Alligator mississippiensis: one gene and its partner. The protein of the gene in region 1 binds, or shares a complex with, the protein of each later gene. Links are inferred from orthologs where the notes say so. Each region holds a gene or a part of one and is shown on either strand. Other genes may lie near its edges. The genes, in order: PLXNA2 and SEMA6A.

What was found.
Region 2: the proteins of PLXNA2 (region 1) and SEMA6A are in contact, whole or in part, in a crystal structure (PDB 3AL8), measured with the Mus musculus proteins. The link is inferred for Alligator mississippiensis from reciprocal best matches to the Homo sapiens genes PLXNA2 and SEMA6A. Residues at the interface, in NP_032908.2 of Mus musculus: Ala93, Cys94, Tyr95, Pro96, Lys155, Gln192, Asp193, Tyr194, Asp220, Phe221, Val222, Pro229, Ser230, Asp231, Leu386, Lys389, Val391, Thr394, Lys395, Ala396, Pro397, Val398, Leu407, Asp408, Ile409, Asn410, Gln411; in NP_061214.2 of Mus musculus: Arg108, Met109, Lys110, Gly111, Met162, Ala163, Thr188, Phe190, Leu191, Ile193, Tyr198, Thr206, Arg208, His212, Asp213, Ser214, Glu219, Gln266, Arg267, Glu270, Lys271, Lys393.

The regions. Positions count from the first base shown.
Region 1 is NC_081837.1:43,019,798-43,027,627, forward strand, and holds the start of PLXNA2 (plexin-A2), read right to left. Parts: upstream 3,016-7,830; 5' UTR 2,473-3,015; intron 1-2,472. UniProt on the Homo sapiens protein: Coreceptor for SEMA3A and SEMA6A. Necessary for signaling by SEMA6A and class 3 semaphorins and subsequent remodeling of the cytoskeleton. Plays a role in axon guidance, invasive growth and cell migration.
Region 2 is NC_081826.1:224,334,360-224,341,452, forward strand, and holds the start of SEMA6A (semaphorin-6A), read left to right. Parts: upstream 1-4,032; 5' UTR 4,033-4,588; intron 4,589-7,093. UniProt on the Homo sapiens protein: Cell surface receptor for PLXNA2 that plays an important role in cell-cell signaling. Required for normal granule cell migration in the developing cerebellum.

The DNA of each region.
Region 1 (7,830 bases):
GGGTTTGAACCAATGCGTGCAAGTGCATGGGAAAGAGTGGGTGAGCATTGCTTAACCCATCCTGGCTGAACAAAGATACCTCTACAAAGCAAATTTAGAGCGTATTGTGCCAGTACCAAGAAGCAGGTATGGCATCTCCTCTTGAATCGCCCATCCGCACGCACCATGCAGCATCTAGGCATCGTCTTCCACTTCTAACCATGACTTACGCAGCCTGCTGGCTCAGCTCTTGCATGAGCGTATCAATGCTGAAACCTTCCCCAGACATTGGATCAATCCCAGGAGACACATCCAAGGCTCCAGGCTCAAACTGCATCAAAAAAGTTTCCAGAGCCAGCTCTGGATATCCCCAAAGCACTAAAGCTCTTGGGAGACAGTCAACGGGAGACTTCAGGCAGATCCTGCAAGTCGAGACACCACAGCGTCTACACCACGAACTGCTCCAAATGTCATTTCCATTTAGCTGCTTTGCAAGCCAATTTGTCACGTCCTAATGCAATTTGCTGAAGAGAGTTAAAGAGCACAGGGCAGGAGGAGTCATCCTTTCTTCAGCATCATATACCCAGGTGGAGAGTGCTTGGGGTCTTTAGGGGTTTTAATATCTAGCTGTATTTCAGAAAGTTCAGTTTCATTCAACAGCTGAGGGGCCAGGGACAGCTCAGGGTTAACTGGGAGAGCAAAACAGAGTGCAAGGAAAGCACTGGGAGCCGCTATTTCTATCAGATCCGTGGGTTCGCAAACGCATCTGTTACCTGTCTCCACTGCACAAACTTGTTATAAGCCAGGGGGAAACTCTGCAAATAATTAGATCAAATACAGCTATAAAGGCAATGAAGAGTAAATTGGGTTGCTTCATCTTCCTGCAACGAGCACGGCAGAGGAGAGAAGAGCAAGGTGTCTGCGTTTGCTTGCACGAGCCATTTTACAAGAGAAACCAGACATACAAGTGACTCTTGGGCTGGACCGTGCTTCCAAAGTCAAGGTGACTCTGCTCAGATCCTAGAAGCACTCCTAACTATTGTATTTAAGGCCTTATGGTTTATAAGCCGAGACTGAAAGAGCATCTGGCAAAAGGCAGCAACATAGGACACACTTTTTATTTTATTTTTTTAACCAAGGCAAATATCTCCACATTGGGAAAATATAAGCATCAATTCTGAAGAGGGCACAAAGGCATCAGTCATTCTGCGGTGGAAGTAGGTCATTTGACTGAACTTTTAGAGATATTGATATCACCGAGGCCGTCCGGCACATGAAAGCAGACAGCCTGCCTCCCAAAACTCAGTCAGGGTCCATCAAACAGATTCATCCTACTAGTGAAATGTCAAGTGGTAGACAAGTAACGAGGAGGAAACCCTCCTAGAAACAGGATTGCATAGCACGGTACCCTACGAACATTGCATCCTTGCTTGCTGCTGAGCCAGTATCCTGAACACAGATCACGGAGGCATGATTTTTTCCCCCTCTATCGCTCCTTAACCCCCCTGCTTTCCCTTAACGTTAACCTACTGACTTTCAGATGCTGCTTAAAACAGTGATTCAATGAACATCATACATCCTGCCTTCAAGACCATGAAGTACTGGCACAGCTTGCACAGAGAAAAGGCTGGTGTTTGACTATACCAGGTGAAACCGGGGGCCGGATGAAGAGAGGACAGTGCGGCCCCTCACTGTACGTATAGACAAGCCGCTGTTATGATCGACACGCATGTAGCATCCAAGCAACTTTAGGGTTTGATGAGGCTGGAAACAGTCCCTGGGACCTAGGAATTTTTTCAGAAAAGCATGCACAGATCCCCCCTTCCCTTTCCCAGCTTCTGGAAAGGGATCTTGCAGGATCTGGGACCTTCACAGTAGGGATATTATTTTTTCCAGGAATCCTGAGTGCTGGCAAAACAAAAGTCTCTCCTGGCCAGTGGCAACTTTTGAGGGGTTTTGTTCCCTTATGACGCACTGCCTTTCCCCAGTCCAGGACTGAATGGTAGGGAATGCAGTCACTTGGATTTAGGAAGGAATAAAACATATTGACAGCAGAACTACACTAAGGGGACAAAATAACAGGATGCCCAAACTGGATTGGGAAGGGTGGGGAGGGGGACAGACAGAGGGGAGCCTCACGGGACTTGCATTATCGGTTGAGATTTAGCTAGCAAATTAGGAAACCCCTCAGGATGATGCTCCCAAATCCAGCCACTTCCAAGTGAAGACAAACATGCTCCTACAGCTTCCAGCCTCAGCCAGAAAACAACCTGGATGCATGCATGCACCCCCCAAAGCCCATCCCCAAGGACGTGGTGGGGGTCTTTCCCCGAGGGCACCTGGCGAGACTCCCCCTTTGGCAGGGGGGAGAGCGCCAAAGCCGCGGCGCTGGGAAAGGATATTTGGGGGCTCCCTTCATGCAGAATAAGAGGGGGCAGGTGCTGGCTGGAGGCACCCCCGCCTTTGCCCACCCCGGCTGGGTGGCTTACTTACCAGACCTAAAGATCCTCTTCCGTCTGTCTCCTTGGGGGCTCTCTGCTTTCTCCCCCCACCCCTCCACCTCCTTGGATTTACGGAGAGGTAATCCAGTCCGACCCTGAATTCATTGAAATCCACCGCAAGTCACCAGCTACTTATCTGTATTCCTAAAGTCTCTCTGCTCTTCCTTGGAACGGCTCCTCCAGGCAGTCAGTCAGTCATTCCTCTGAAGCCCCTGTGCGGCTGGCTAGCCAATTATTCTTATTCTTTTTAAGGGTCCTTATTGCTAGGATTCGCCCACCTAGACTTCTCCCCTACCCTCCCTGACATCAGCCATCCCGGGCTTCCTTTGCTTTTTTTTAATTTTAATTTTTTTTTAATTTTTTTTTTTTTTTACAGTCCCATTTCCTTCACAGATCTGTTTTTTCCTCTCTCTCTCTGTGTCTCTCCCTCGCTCTCTCTTTCTACCAGCTGAATTTCACAGTAACTGTGCACTCCTTCTCCCGGCTCTAGGCTGGCACTGGAAGCTCATCCCCCCATCAGCAGCAGTCTGACTGCTAAAGCCTGCCTCCCTGTATTACCATGTAGCTCATTAACATACAGTCACTGGGGGTTAACTCTTCCGCAGCCGCCAGCTCCAAACCGCAGGCCTTCGCCAGTGCCCAATGCTGGACCCTTGCATTTCTCTCTCCGGTGACGTGCAAGGAAAGCGGCTCAAGGGATGCAGGTGCAAGCTAGAGACCTCCATTGACACTTGTTCCCCAAGAACCTGCTGAGCCGGACCAGCCACCCGCAAACTACCTTAAAGGTAAAACTCCAGCAAAGCACAAGGATTCAGAGGCAGGGCTGGGAAATGGGGGCTGACACATGGGTGCTGCCCACTCAGCCTGGTTTGCAAAGAGAAATGGAAAGGTGGGGATACCGCCACCACACCCCTGCCTACCTGCTCCCTGCTGCCCCTCACCAGGCTTTGGGAGGCTTCCCCGACAGGGATCCTCTATGCACCCGACATTGCTTTTGCCTTTTATTTTATATGCATGCGGACACATGGACAGAAATACAAACTCAGTGAAAAATAGATTCATAGGTGTTAGGGTAGGAAGGGACCTCAATAGATCATCGAGTCTGACCCCCTGCATAGGCAGGAAAGAGTGCTGGGTCTAGATGACCCCAGCTAGATGCATATCCAACCTCCTCTTGAAGACCCCCAGGAGGTCTTGTATGTTAATGAGCTACAGGGTCAAGGGGACCCTGGGGGTCCTCTTGAAGACCCCCAGGGTCTTCAGTAGGAACCGTTGCAGTTTTAAGGCAGCTCCCGTGTTAGGGCATCCATTTCCTGACCTGGCTACTAGCTAGTCATCTGGTTACTACCCACATGGGTTGGATTTGAAATGCTGAGAAAGGCTCCACAACCCATTACTCACCCTCTGAGCCATCCAGCACCTCCTAGTTACACACGTGCATGTTGCATTGCACAACAGGAGTGAAGAAATACAGGCCTGTGCTGCAGCCGTCATGCAAGGGATCTGAATCGGGCCACCTGGGTTCTCGTCTCAGCTGCTGCCACCCGCTTCCTATGTGAACCTGGACAAGTCACAACCCCGGCTCCTTGCTACACCTTTTCTCCCTCAGCGCAGCAAGAGGGAAAGGAGTTTTATGCAGCATTTGCATTCCCAGTACCTGGGTTGTGCTCCTGTCTCAGGGCACTGGTTCAGAGCCCCTGGGGGGTGGTTTCTGCACCTTGTACGCTCCTGGATGAATTAAAGGGGATGACTACACCTAATGATTGTGCTTGGGAAATTCCACTTCACAGGTCTGACTTGAGAAGCAACTGGATTGGGTTCAGACCCTTGCGCCACAAGGCAACGTGCAAGTCCAGTTGCAACTGGATTGGGTTCAGACCCTTGCGCCACAAGGCAACGTGCAAGTCCAGATGCAACTGGATTGGGTTCGGACCCTTGCGCCACAAGGCAACGTGCAAGTCCAGATTCCTACTGGGAAGAGTAAACACAGACTGCAAGCAGCCCAGGGTCTACCATCCACATCCAACTCAACAGGTCAGAGGACTAGGAGCCGATCGCAGACCGTCCCAACCCAAACCGTGCACCTGATGCAACACTTTCAGAGTGGATGAGCAACTGGGATTCCCACCTAAAAACTTCAGGCGCACCACAGCATACACGTCAGAGGACCAGACTGTAGAAGCAGAAGATCCTGCCCCCCATCAGACCAGCTGAAGAAGGGGCTCTAGCCAAGTGGTGATATGTCAGCGAGTTGCTGGTTGCCAAAAGGGCTTTGAAGCCTTGTGGTTACACCGTGTTATGTTGGGGTATGTCTCTGGGACACGCAAGAGAGCACAAGTGGGGTAATATTTAAAACAGCAAGCCACTCTAGAGACTGACATGCTTTAAATAAAGCCAGGTCATCTGATTCAGATAATGTTCCCATCCCCAGAGAGGCTCAGAGGAGCTGCAAAACAAATTATAAAATAAAGAGGGAACCATACGTACGGGAACAGCTGAGACTTGCAATCAACTCGGCTGCCCTGAGGAGATAGCAGACAGACCACACCGCTGCTTATGTGGCTTCTCCATTCTTCCATATGGAGCTCCTGAACAATGCTCCTCTACCCTGAAGTGGGTGCAGGTGCTGAAAGCTGCTTTGGATATAGCAGAGGCAGGCTCACATGACTAGCTGGCTCTAAAAGCTGTAGCCACACAGACGTGCACTCCAAAGCAGCACAGCTTCTTCAGGAGCAATGGAGAAGTAAGATCCTGACTGTCCCTGGACAGGAGATTCCAGTCTTTACTTCCCAACCTCTCCAGCAAAAGCTTTAATCAAGGCATCTTGTCCCTAAACTAACACACCTACAGCCCTTAATCACGGCACACCGCTCACCGGGTATGCAGGAATAGTCAGGGGAAGAGATTAACTCTACTGAGGAGGCTCCCCAGCTGTCCCCTGCCCACAGCTCACATGCCTGCAGCTAACTAAAACCATTTGGGGGAAGGAAATAAATATCTCTTCCCTGAAGTCTCCAAGCCTCTCGAGGAGGAGAGACTCAGCGATGCACCGGAAAGGTCCTTTCCCTTGGCAGCACACTAGGCAGGTGCTCAGCAGGTTGCTGCTTGCCCTCTTTGGTCCCGGCTGCTTTTTCCCTTTGCAGGAGTGCATGTTTGAGAAGGGTAGAAAGGAGATAAATTAAGCCCATGAGCTCATTCCTATTGCTCACAGGTAGTTTAAAGGTATTTCTCCCCTCGAGGGGACTACAACAGACAAGAAATCAATAGTCTCCCCAGGGAGAAAGCCACCCTGTAGGCAGTGAATACACCTCTCTAAGAGGAGATGTTCCCTGTCGCTCAGGAAAGGATTTCCTTGTTTAAACATGTTCCCTACAATTTTCCAGCATGAGGCACTGGCCCAGCTCAGGCCTCGCTCCTCTTCCCCTCAACTGCTTCACTCATAGCTAGATTGAGTCTGAGACTGGGGATATTTCGGCACCTGGAAAGGCTATCTACAACGCAGCTATTCAGCTTGGGACAGGGACACGAGGCTGCTCCATGCACACAGCGAGCTCTGCTCTTTCATTATTCTGCCCCCGCTACATTTGCTGCGTCTTGCATTCACAGCAAATGCCACTAAATCCCATTACAAATACCAGCCTTGGCTAAACGCACGTCCCACTAATGCAATTTCTCTTTTCGTGGGAAGTCGTACAAGGCGGGTCGGAGCATCTTAATTGCTCTCTCCTCTTGGCTGGACTGTCGGCATCCTGCATTCTGGTTATTATTTATTGATGGCCAATTGTTGTCAAGATGGAGAGTCTCTCTCTGGCTAATTACAGGATTGCTGAGCTAGGGGAGCAGCCCAAAAGGGCAGCAGAGGAGGTCACACATATGATGCAGGTGAGGAGCACGGGTCTTTTCCAAGCTGTGCACAAGAGCAAAAAGGCACCAGCCAGGATTCACCTGGGGTACTGATGCCAGTGAGTGTGAGCTGATGAATGATGTGTTTGCCTAGCCACTTCTCTGGCCATGCAGGATTTAGGCAACAGCAGCCTCATACCCAAGCCAACTATAGGTAAAAATCCTTGTCTAAAGTTGTGTTAACCCATGCCCAAGACCTGTGACAATAGTAGTACCTGGAAATTACAGGAAGCCTTTTTGCAACTGGAAGCATACAGCAGGCCTTCACCATAAGTATTTATCACTAGGAGGAGAACACGCGTTTGTGGTACACTCATATTACACACACACACACACACACACGTAGTGTGTATGTACTTGCACGTGCATTCAAGAGGTGTGTGCATGTGGCCTATTTGGGTCTGATGCCAGCATCTTGCAAGGATGTACTTGTTAGGCCATGTCAGTGTTTGATGCGGTGTTTGTGTCTTCCATGCAGGTCTCATTTGTGTCCTCCATCCTGTGGCTCTGTTTTGTCCACGTGCTGCTGTGTGCTAGTACTGGGCATATTTGTTCCTAGGCATATGTGTTTGTGTATGTGTGTACTAGGCTTCGGGCATCTTGTCACTTTATTTTGAAAATATGCCTCCATGTCTCCTTCTTGCATTTGTGGAGCATTTGGTGCATTGCTGCCTCTTTGTTATATGCACAGATCCATAGTTGTGAAGCTTGCGTGTGCAAGCTGTCCGTGTCCGTGCTTTCTGGGCACGCCGGGCCAGTGTTCTGCATACAGGTTTAGATGTGCATCTACTTCTTTTGTGAACGTATATTTGCTTGTGCAGTCTGTTCTGCAGGCATATACTAAGGGAAAACCGAGGGCGCTGCACAGCATGGCCTCCCTCTCACCAGTCTTGCACCATGAGCTGATGGCAACCTGCTCGACAGCCATGCGGACATGGGTGCCCAGTGCCTACATGGGAACTACATCTCACTTTGCAACCAGCTGCCCTCAGCACGGTGGTAACCACCAGCAGAAAATTCTGGTGCAAGTCACTCCGGATAATTTACCGGCCAAATGATAGCGAACAGAGAACATAAAGATGCCCTGAGAAACAGAAAGCTGTTTGCGTAGGGAACAAAACTGGGCAGGACCCACATAAAAAGAGCCATGGAGCCGTAATTTATGACGGCGTCTCCCCCCACAGCTTTGTGGGAAGCTGACATCCTGGGGCATTCGAAACAGAAGCTTGACTCATCCTGCTACAAATCAAACAGGACAGTCGTGGAGTCCTTTATTGCTCCCCACAACCCCTTGGCTGCCCCTTCCCCTCCTCGGAGAGCATCCCCCTTGGGGCATGCCATTCTGCTGCACCTGGCAATGGCAGCCCCGAGGCCCCGCGTCGATACGGGTCCCGAGATGCCATTTATGCCCGAGAGTAACTGAGCACGAGGGAAGTAGAAGGGAGGA
Region 2 (7,093 bases), on another chromosome or scaffold:
CTCCCAAGTCAAAACAATTTGAGACTGTCATTGTAACATGGGGCAATTAAAAACTGGAATGTGGAAATAAATTTCTATTGAAGATTATAGACCCTGATTCCACACAACTGAAGATTGCAAACGTGCAGGACTATTTAAAAAAAATCACAGATCTACTTAATCACTGTTCTATCTTAATCTGTTCCAGTATTTTTTTAATTTCCCAAACAATAATTTGATATAAAAAGTGAATGGGACTAAGGAACCAATGTAGTACAGTGGAATGATTGTTGAACAGAAGGAACAACACAAAGCTGTGAAGCTATTCATGTAGCAGAGATACAGTAAATGTACTGTTAGGAAACACTTGCACACTAGTTCAATCAAGAGGGGGGAGATGGTCTCACATTGTCCTAAATGAATTCAGGTTATAGTTTAGCACCTTCCCAGGACTTTAAAGGTTATGTTTTATACCCAGAATTAAGATCATTGAGAAGCCTCCATGTGCTGCACTGAATTGCACTTCATTCACTGTAAAGGGAATTTATGGTGGTTTGAATCCCTCCCTTATTCCAAGTGGTGCTTTGTTTCATACTGGAAACCTAAAGTGGTGGGAGTGGGAGCTTTGAACCTCCATCCTGAGTGAGTTTCAGATTTTCATCGTGGACACCCCAGGTGTTTCAGCTGTAGCAGTCACAAGGAGTAGGCTTTTCTGGGAGGGTTTGGGGTTTTTTTATGCATTCTTCCCCTCCATCCCTCTCTCCCCTCCCCACCTTCTTCCCTGCCTCTCCCTCTCCTGCTGCCCTGAACAAATCCAAAATATGCAAGGGAGCGGATTTACACGTGGCTCCGACCACACTTCCATTTCATTCTCGAAATCCAAGCCGGTTTCAGTGATAGCTATTGAACTGGATGGGATTTGGGGGGAAAAAATCAGAGGCGGGCACTCCCTTGTCTTCACCTCTGTCTTTCTTTAGGGATCAGCTGTTTTAAAAAGGGAAAGAAATGCAAAGCGACGCCTCGCTGCTCGGCTTGTAGCTCGTCGGAAATCGTCTCTCTCCCATCTTCGCCCCCCTGCAAAATAAACCCCCCAAAGATGAAGACAAAAGCAGCATGCCCAGGCCAACCCCACCCAGCCTTCTCCAGCCCCGCAACGTGCAGCACATGCCAAATAGATCCATTACAGCAAACAAGACAGCTTAATTGTTTGTTTCTCCCCGGGAAGGAGCTAAACCCGGAATTAATTTGGTTCAGCCGGTGAAACAACGCGTTTGCTCTGCCTCATTCTGGCAATTAAAGAAGTTTTTGGGGTTCTTTTTTTTTCCCCAGACACAATTAACATGTAAATCAGCGGCGCTAAGGCTGCTGCCGCCTCTGCTCCTACTGGAGAAATGCAAGAGGCAGGAGCCAGGCTGCACTACCTGTCTCGGCGGAGGCGCTGGTGCGGCTGCCGAGGGAGGCGCGAGGATTAGGAGAGGCAGCGGCAGCGGCAGAGCTCCTGGCCGAGGGGGTTGGGAAGCAGAAGGATTAATTTATTAGCGCTGCTCCTGTCCCTCTCGGGGCTGCTTGGCTCGGAGACAGGGGCGGATTAGCCCTGCAGGCAGCTATCAAACTGGGATGGGGGGGAAGGAAACAAAACAAAACAGAAAAGGCAGGCTGAGAGCTAATCGGCCGCGGAGGAGCAGCCGGCCCTCCCCGATGGCTGCGCTCTGCTTAGGCGCGGTAGCGGGCGAACGCGGGTCTGACGTCGCCCCGCAAAGCGCTTTGTTTTGCCGCGCCAATTGGCCGCAGACAGACGCGCGGGGGTGGGTAGGTAGGTAGGAAGGAAGGTAGGTCCGCGCAGCTCCCGCAGGCAGGCCGGGAGGGGGGAAGGCGCGCGCGCTGGGTGGCCCCGACCCCGGGGCAGCTGAAGTCAGCGGGAGTTTCGCCTTTGCCTTCTGCGGGAGCGGGCGCCAACTTCGCAAGTTTCATCAATTCTTGCATTGTTTGCCAAGGAAATTGGGGCAGCGGCCCCTTCTGGCCCGCGGGGCAAACAGCGAGAGAGAGCCGAGCCGGCTTTTCTCCACCCCTCCACCCGGAGGAGCAAAGCTGCTAAGCCGGAGACGGTGCGCGTGCATGTTATTATTATTAATATCATCGTATGCAGATGCACAGTACTCGCAGCACACGCCTGTGCTCTCTGGGCGCCGCCGAGGCACTTGGCTTTCCGAGGGACCAATTTAGACCACCTGAGAGGCTGCAGCTTTGCTTTTATCGTCATCAGACAGTTTGTTCATTGTTATCTTCGGAGCTTTAACCCCCCTCCCCGATCTGCGATACACAAGTGTCTCTTCCTGCTCTTTCGCAGCCTCTCTCCCCTTTGCTGTCTATCCTCGCCCTGTTTCAAAGGGAGCGTTGCTACTTTTCGAGGCGCACTGGGGTGGATCCGGAGCGATGGCCATGGTGTAACGTTGCACTTGCCAGCCTTTCGGTACTGCGGGTTGCATCAGTGTGAGCCTGATGTAGTCATAAGGATCCACAGGGGGAATAGGAATAAGAATATGCCTTGGGGAGGGGAAGGAGTAAGGACTTGTTGGCCTTGGGCAAGTTTGCTTGGAAAGTATTTTTAACAGAGAGGAGGGCGGTGCCTTGGCATCTGGAGGTTCCTAAGAATGGGCTGTTTCTTCCCTCGCCGTGCACCTGTTCCGAACAAACCACACAGCTAAGCCCGTGAGCCCGCTGGGATCCTGCTGATTTATTTTTATTGGCACCCAATTCATTGCCCGGCAAGAGCGTTTAAATACCAAATCTCTTAGGGCAGATGAATGCAACACTGCCAAACGTGCCGGGCAGGCTCCCTCCCGCAGCAGGGCGGCTGGTGTCTGGCTCCCGAGGCCAGCAGATCTGTGCTCCTCTGCCGCCTGCTAGTGCAAGAAGCCTCCCCCCGCGCTCACACACGTACCTGGCGGGCACCTCGCGGGATGCTCGTCCCTGCCCGAGGGCTGGAGCCCTGCAACGGTTCCTCGGCATTAGAAAAGTCTTCACAGTTCACTTCCCCTCATCCTTTAAAACTTTTCCATTTAAGAAAATCGATGAGCAAATCCTTCCTTGCATCTCATCTCCCGGAGTGCTCCTGCCTCGCCTCTCTTTTTCCCCTGATACCTATACCTATACCAGTATCTATCTATAATACATCTCTATATCTCTATAGATATCTATATATTTATAATATATCTATAATACATCTCTGTCTATAGATAACTATCTATATATATCTATCTGTAATATCTCTCTCTCTATAGATATCTATCTATAATACATCTCTCTAGCTCTATAGATATCTATCTATATAGCTATATCTATGTAGAATACATCTCTATCGATATCAATAGGTATCTATATATCTATATATTGTATAATAAATCTACCTATCTATAGATATGTATATAATACATCTATCTATAGCTATATATAATGCATCCATTTATCTATCTATATATAATACATCTATCTATAGCTATATATAATACATCTATTTATCTATAGATATAATACATCTATCTATAGCTATCTATGTATAATACATCTATCTAGCTATAGATATCTATGTACCTATATATAATACATCTATCTATAGATATCTATAGCTATCTATTTATAGATATCTATATCAACATGTATTTATCTATAGAAATCTATACGTATATATATCTATAGAGATCGAGATCTCTATCTGTGTAAGTCAAGGATCAAGCCAGACTTCTCTCGTCCTTGTTTCAGTCCCGATTGCATACACGTTGCATGGCACAAGGTTGGGGGGGGAGGGATAAGGCAGGTCGCGCACTATCCCCCCGGCTCACCACTTCTCTTATCTCCTTGCCCGCACGTGTCGGGCCCGGGGGCGGGGGGCAGTCGGCTGTCGGCCCCCCGCCCCCCAGCCCGCACTCCTAGTCCCGCGCGCACGCAGGGCCGGGCCTTGCTGCGTGTAGCCGGCGGGGAGTGGGGAAGGCGGCGGTGCGGTGATGCCGCGATCCAGTCCGGGATTTGGCTCCGCCCCGCCGCCGAGCAGCCTTCCAGTGACAGCGGAGTTGGGAGCCCGGCAGTGAGGAGGGAGGCAGGCACCAGGCGAGAGCTTTGCTCCCAAGTCCTCTCCCGAGCCCAGCTCAATGACCAGCAGCTCTGGGGCGAGGAGCAACTGCGCTTCCCACAACTTTCCCTGGAGCAGCCTCCAGCATCGTGGCAGCCTGACATGACTTGCCTCCTAGGGCGCGACTGAGGGGGACTTACCGGAGTGGAAGCCTGGTGGAATTTGGGTTTGCAGAGGAGTTGCCGAACCTTTTTTATTATTATTATTACAATTATTATTGCTTTTTTTTTTCTCCCCCCGCCCCCTGGAAATGAGCACGCTGCCTCGGCGCTGCAGAAAGTAGGCAGCTCGGACTGTGGCAGCCCTGTGCCCCCGCCCCGTGCCTTGCCCCGAGGAGCCCCCATGTAGGAATGACAAAGGATTGCACCGGCGAGCGCGGCTGCGGTGTCCCCCGAGCGGTCCCCGGGCATGGATTACTAAATGGGACACTCCCGCAGCTAGGTCTGTCCTCGGGCTGCCGCTAGATACATGCGCCGGGAAAAGGTACTGTACCGCCCCGGGCGCGGCTGCGGGAGGGCCGGGGCGGCGGGACGGAGGCTGGGGGCGCCCTGCCCTGCCTGCCTGCCGGCTGCCGCGGATGGGCGGGGAGCGGCTTTGTTGCACGCGCGGGGACAATGTGGGAGCCTCGCCCCTGCCGCTGCGGTGGGCTCGGGGTGCATCGGGGCACCGCGGAAACTTCTGCCGGGAGAGAGACCCCTTCCCCCCTTCCTCCGCCGCAGCCGCCGCCGCCTTGTCTCCGCGCGGTGCCTTTGTTTGCGGGGCCGCTGCCTCCCCGCCCCGCGGGCCCCGAGGGCGCCTCCCCTACCCGGGGGGGGGTGTGCGTGTGTGTGTGCGGGGGGGGGGGTGTGCATGTGCCCCTGCCCGGGTGCTGCCCCTGACCCCTGCTCCCCGCGCTGTCAGCCCCCGGGGGGGAGGGCTGCTGCTCCCTCAGTACAGGGGCAGCTGGGTCCTGTCAGGGGCGGAGAGGGGAGGATTCTCCTCTGCCCCCTCGCCAGGGCCTGGGGGCAGCCCAGGGCCGCTCCCCTGGGGGGAAAAAAAGCACCGCTTGGAATAAGGGAGGGATTCAAACCACCGTGAATTCGCTTTACAGTGAATGAAGTACAATTTAAAAAAGCCAAGTTTGTCCAAAGGGGGTGGGGGCCAGGGAGGGCGGCCACAATGCGGCGTCTGCCTGCTGCTCCCTCCCAGCGCCGCCTGCCCGGGTGCGGGGGGGAGGGGGGCACCGAAGCCCTGGGGGTGCGGGCCGGGACACGCGCACACACACACACTTAATATCCACACACACAATACTCACGCGCTTACTTAATATTCACACACAACATTCGCACGTAATATTCACACACACACTTCATATCCACGCACACAATACACACTTCATAGATTCACACACACCTCATATCCACATACACAGTGCTCACACCCTTACTTAATATTCACACACAATAAAGTAACTTAATATTCACGCACACTTCATATCCACACGCAGCACTCACACGCTTAATGGATGCATACGCGCGCACACAATATTCACACACGCTTCACATCCACACTCTCAGATGCACAATATTCACACTTAATATACACAGACACTCGCACACTTCATATCCACACACGCACACTTAATATCAACATGCACACTCATACATACACACACAATACCACCCCCCCCGGCTGGCTGGCGGGTGCTCCGTGCTGGGCCGGGGGGATACTGCTGACAGGAGGGATTCGCGGTGCAGGAGCGTGAAAACCTCTCAGTTGAGAGTAATGGGCATTAAGTGCTCTGCCTGCGAATTTGCATGAGCCAAAGTGGGAGCCTGCAAATCCCCAGGAGTTGCTTTTCCTGCCGTGCTGGTGCACCGGAGAAGTGGAGCAGAACGGAGACAACCCCCCCCCCCCCCCCGGGAGGTTGGGGAGGAGGGAGGGAGCTGGTGGCTCCTTCAAGCAATTACCAGGAGCAGATGCAGCAGCCTGGGCGAGAGGGGCTGGGTGACTCCGGGGCCAGTGAATCCATTTTGGGCGTTCTAGCAACACCGGGAGGTGTTGCTAGAAGTTTGCTCTGCGCTGCGAACAAGTACCTGCCGTGGGTGCCGGGGATCGGTGCGTGTGAAAGCCTGTTTTCTCCCCCTGCCTCTTTGCTCCTCAGTCGCTTTTATTTGCTTGAGAGGGGACCGGAAAGCTAGTGATGGTGACTGACTTGCAGAGGAAGGGTGCAAATCGCAGCTTTCCCTGCCCTGAACCTGGGCAACTTTCACAGACTGTAGGGTTTTTATTGTGCTTGAGCCAGAGCCCCAGGATCTCCCACCAGTGGTTAGTCGCAGTATAGTACATGACTAGGTTTTCTTCCATGTCTGTTCATGTCAATCTTTGAGGGCTGGTTTGAAGGCAATTTGTCCCTCTCCCCCCCTTTCCTAAGATTTGTCCCTCTCTCCCCCCTTTCCTAAGATTTGTCTCTCTCTCCCCTCTTTCCTAAGATCAGTGCTGGTTTTTAAGTTTGCCAACCTACATAGTTGTGTTATGCAGGTCAGGCTGCTATACACAGTGTTTATACAGGTCAGGATACCTAATAAACCAATCCAGTCTATTACAAAAGCAGAAATAGTGAAGTCAATTAACTAGGCAAATCCTAATTAGAGGGGGGGAGGGGCTGGTCTGTTAAGCGCAAATGTGGTGGCACATACCACAATAGCATAACATGGAAGTTGAATCATCCCAAAGCCTCTCTGCTTTTCATTTAGTAGCTTATTATTTGAAACACACTCTGAAAACTTCTGCTTAATATCATCCAGCACTAATAGTAATTATTAACCCAACTTTAAATATAGAGCACAATTGTGTCTTCAGCTATTACCTTATGTTCGTAAAAATAACTTTGGTGAGTGTTTGAGTTCTGTTAACACGCATGTATTTACTTTGGGCCTGATCCTGCCATCCTGACTCACTGGAGTAATACAGGAGTAAATCTGCTCACAGCACTAGAACGCCTTCTGT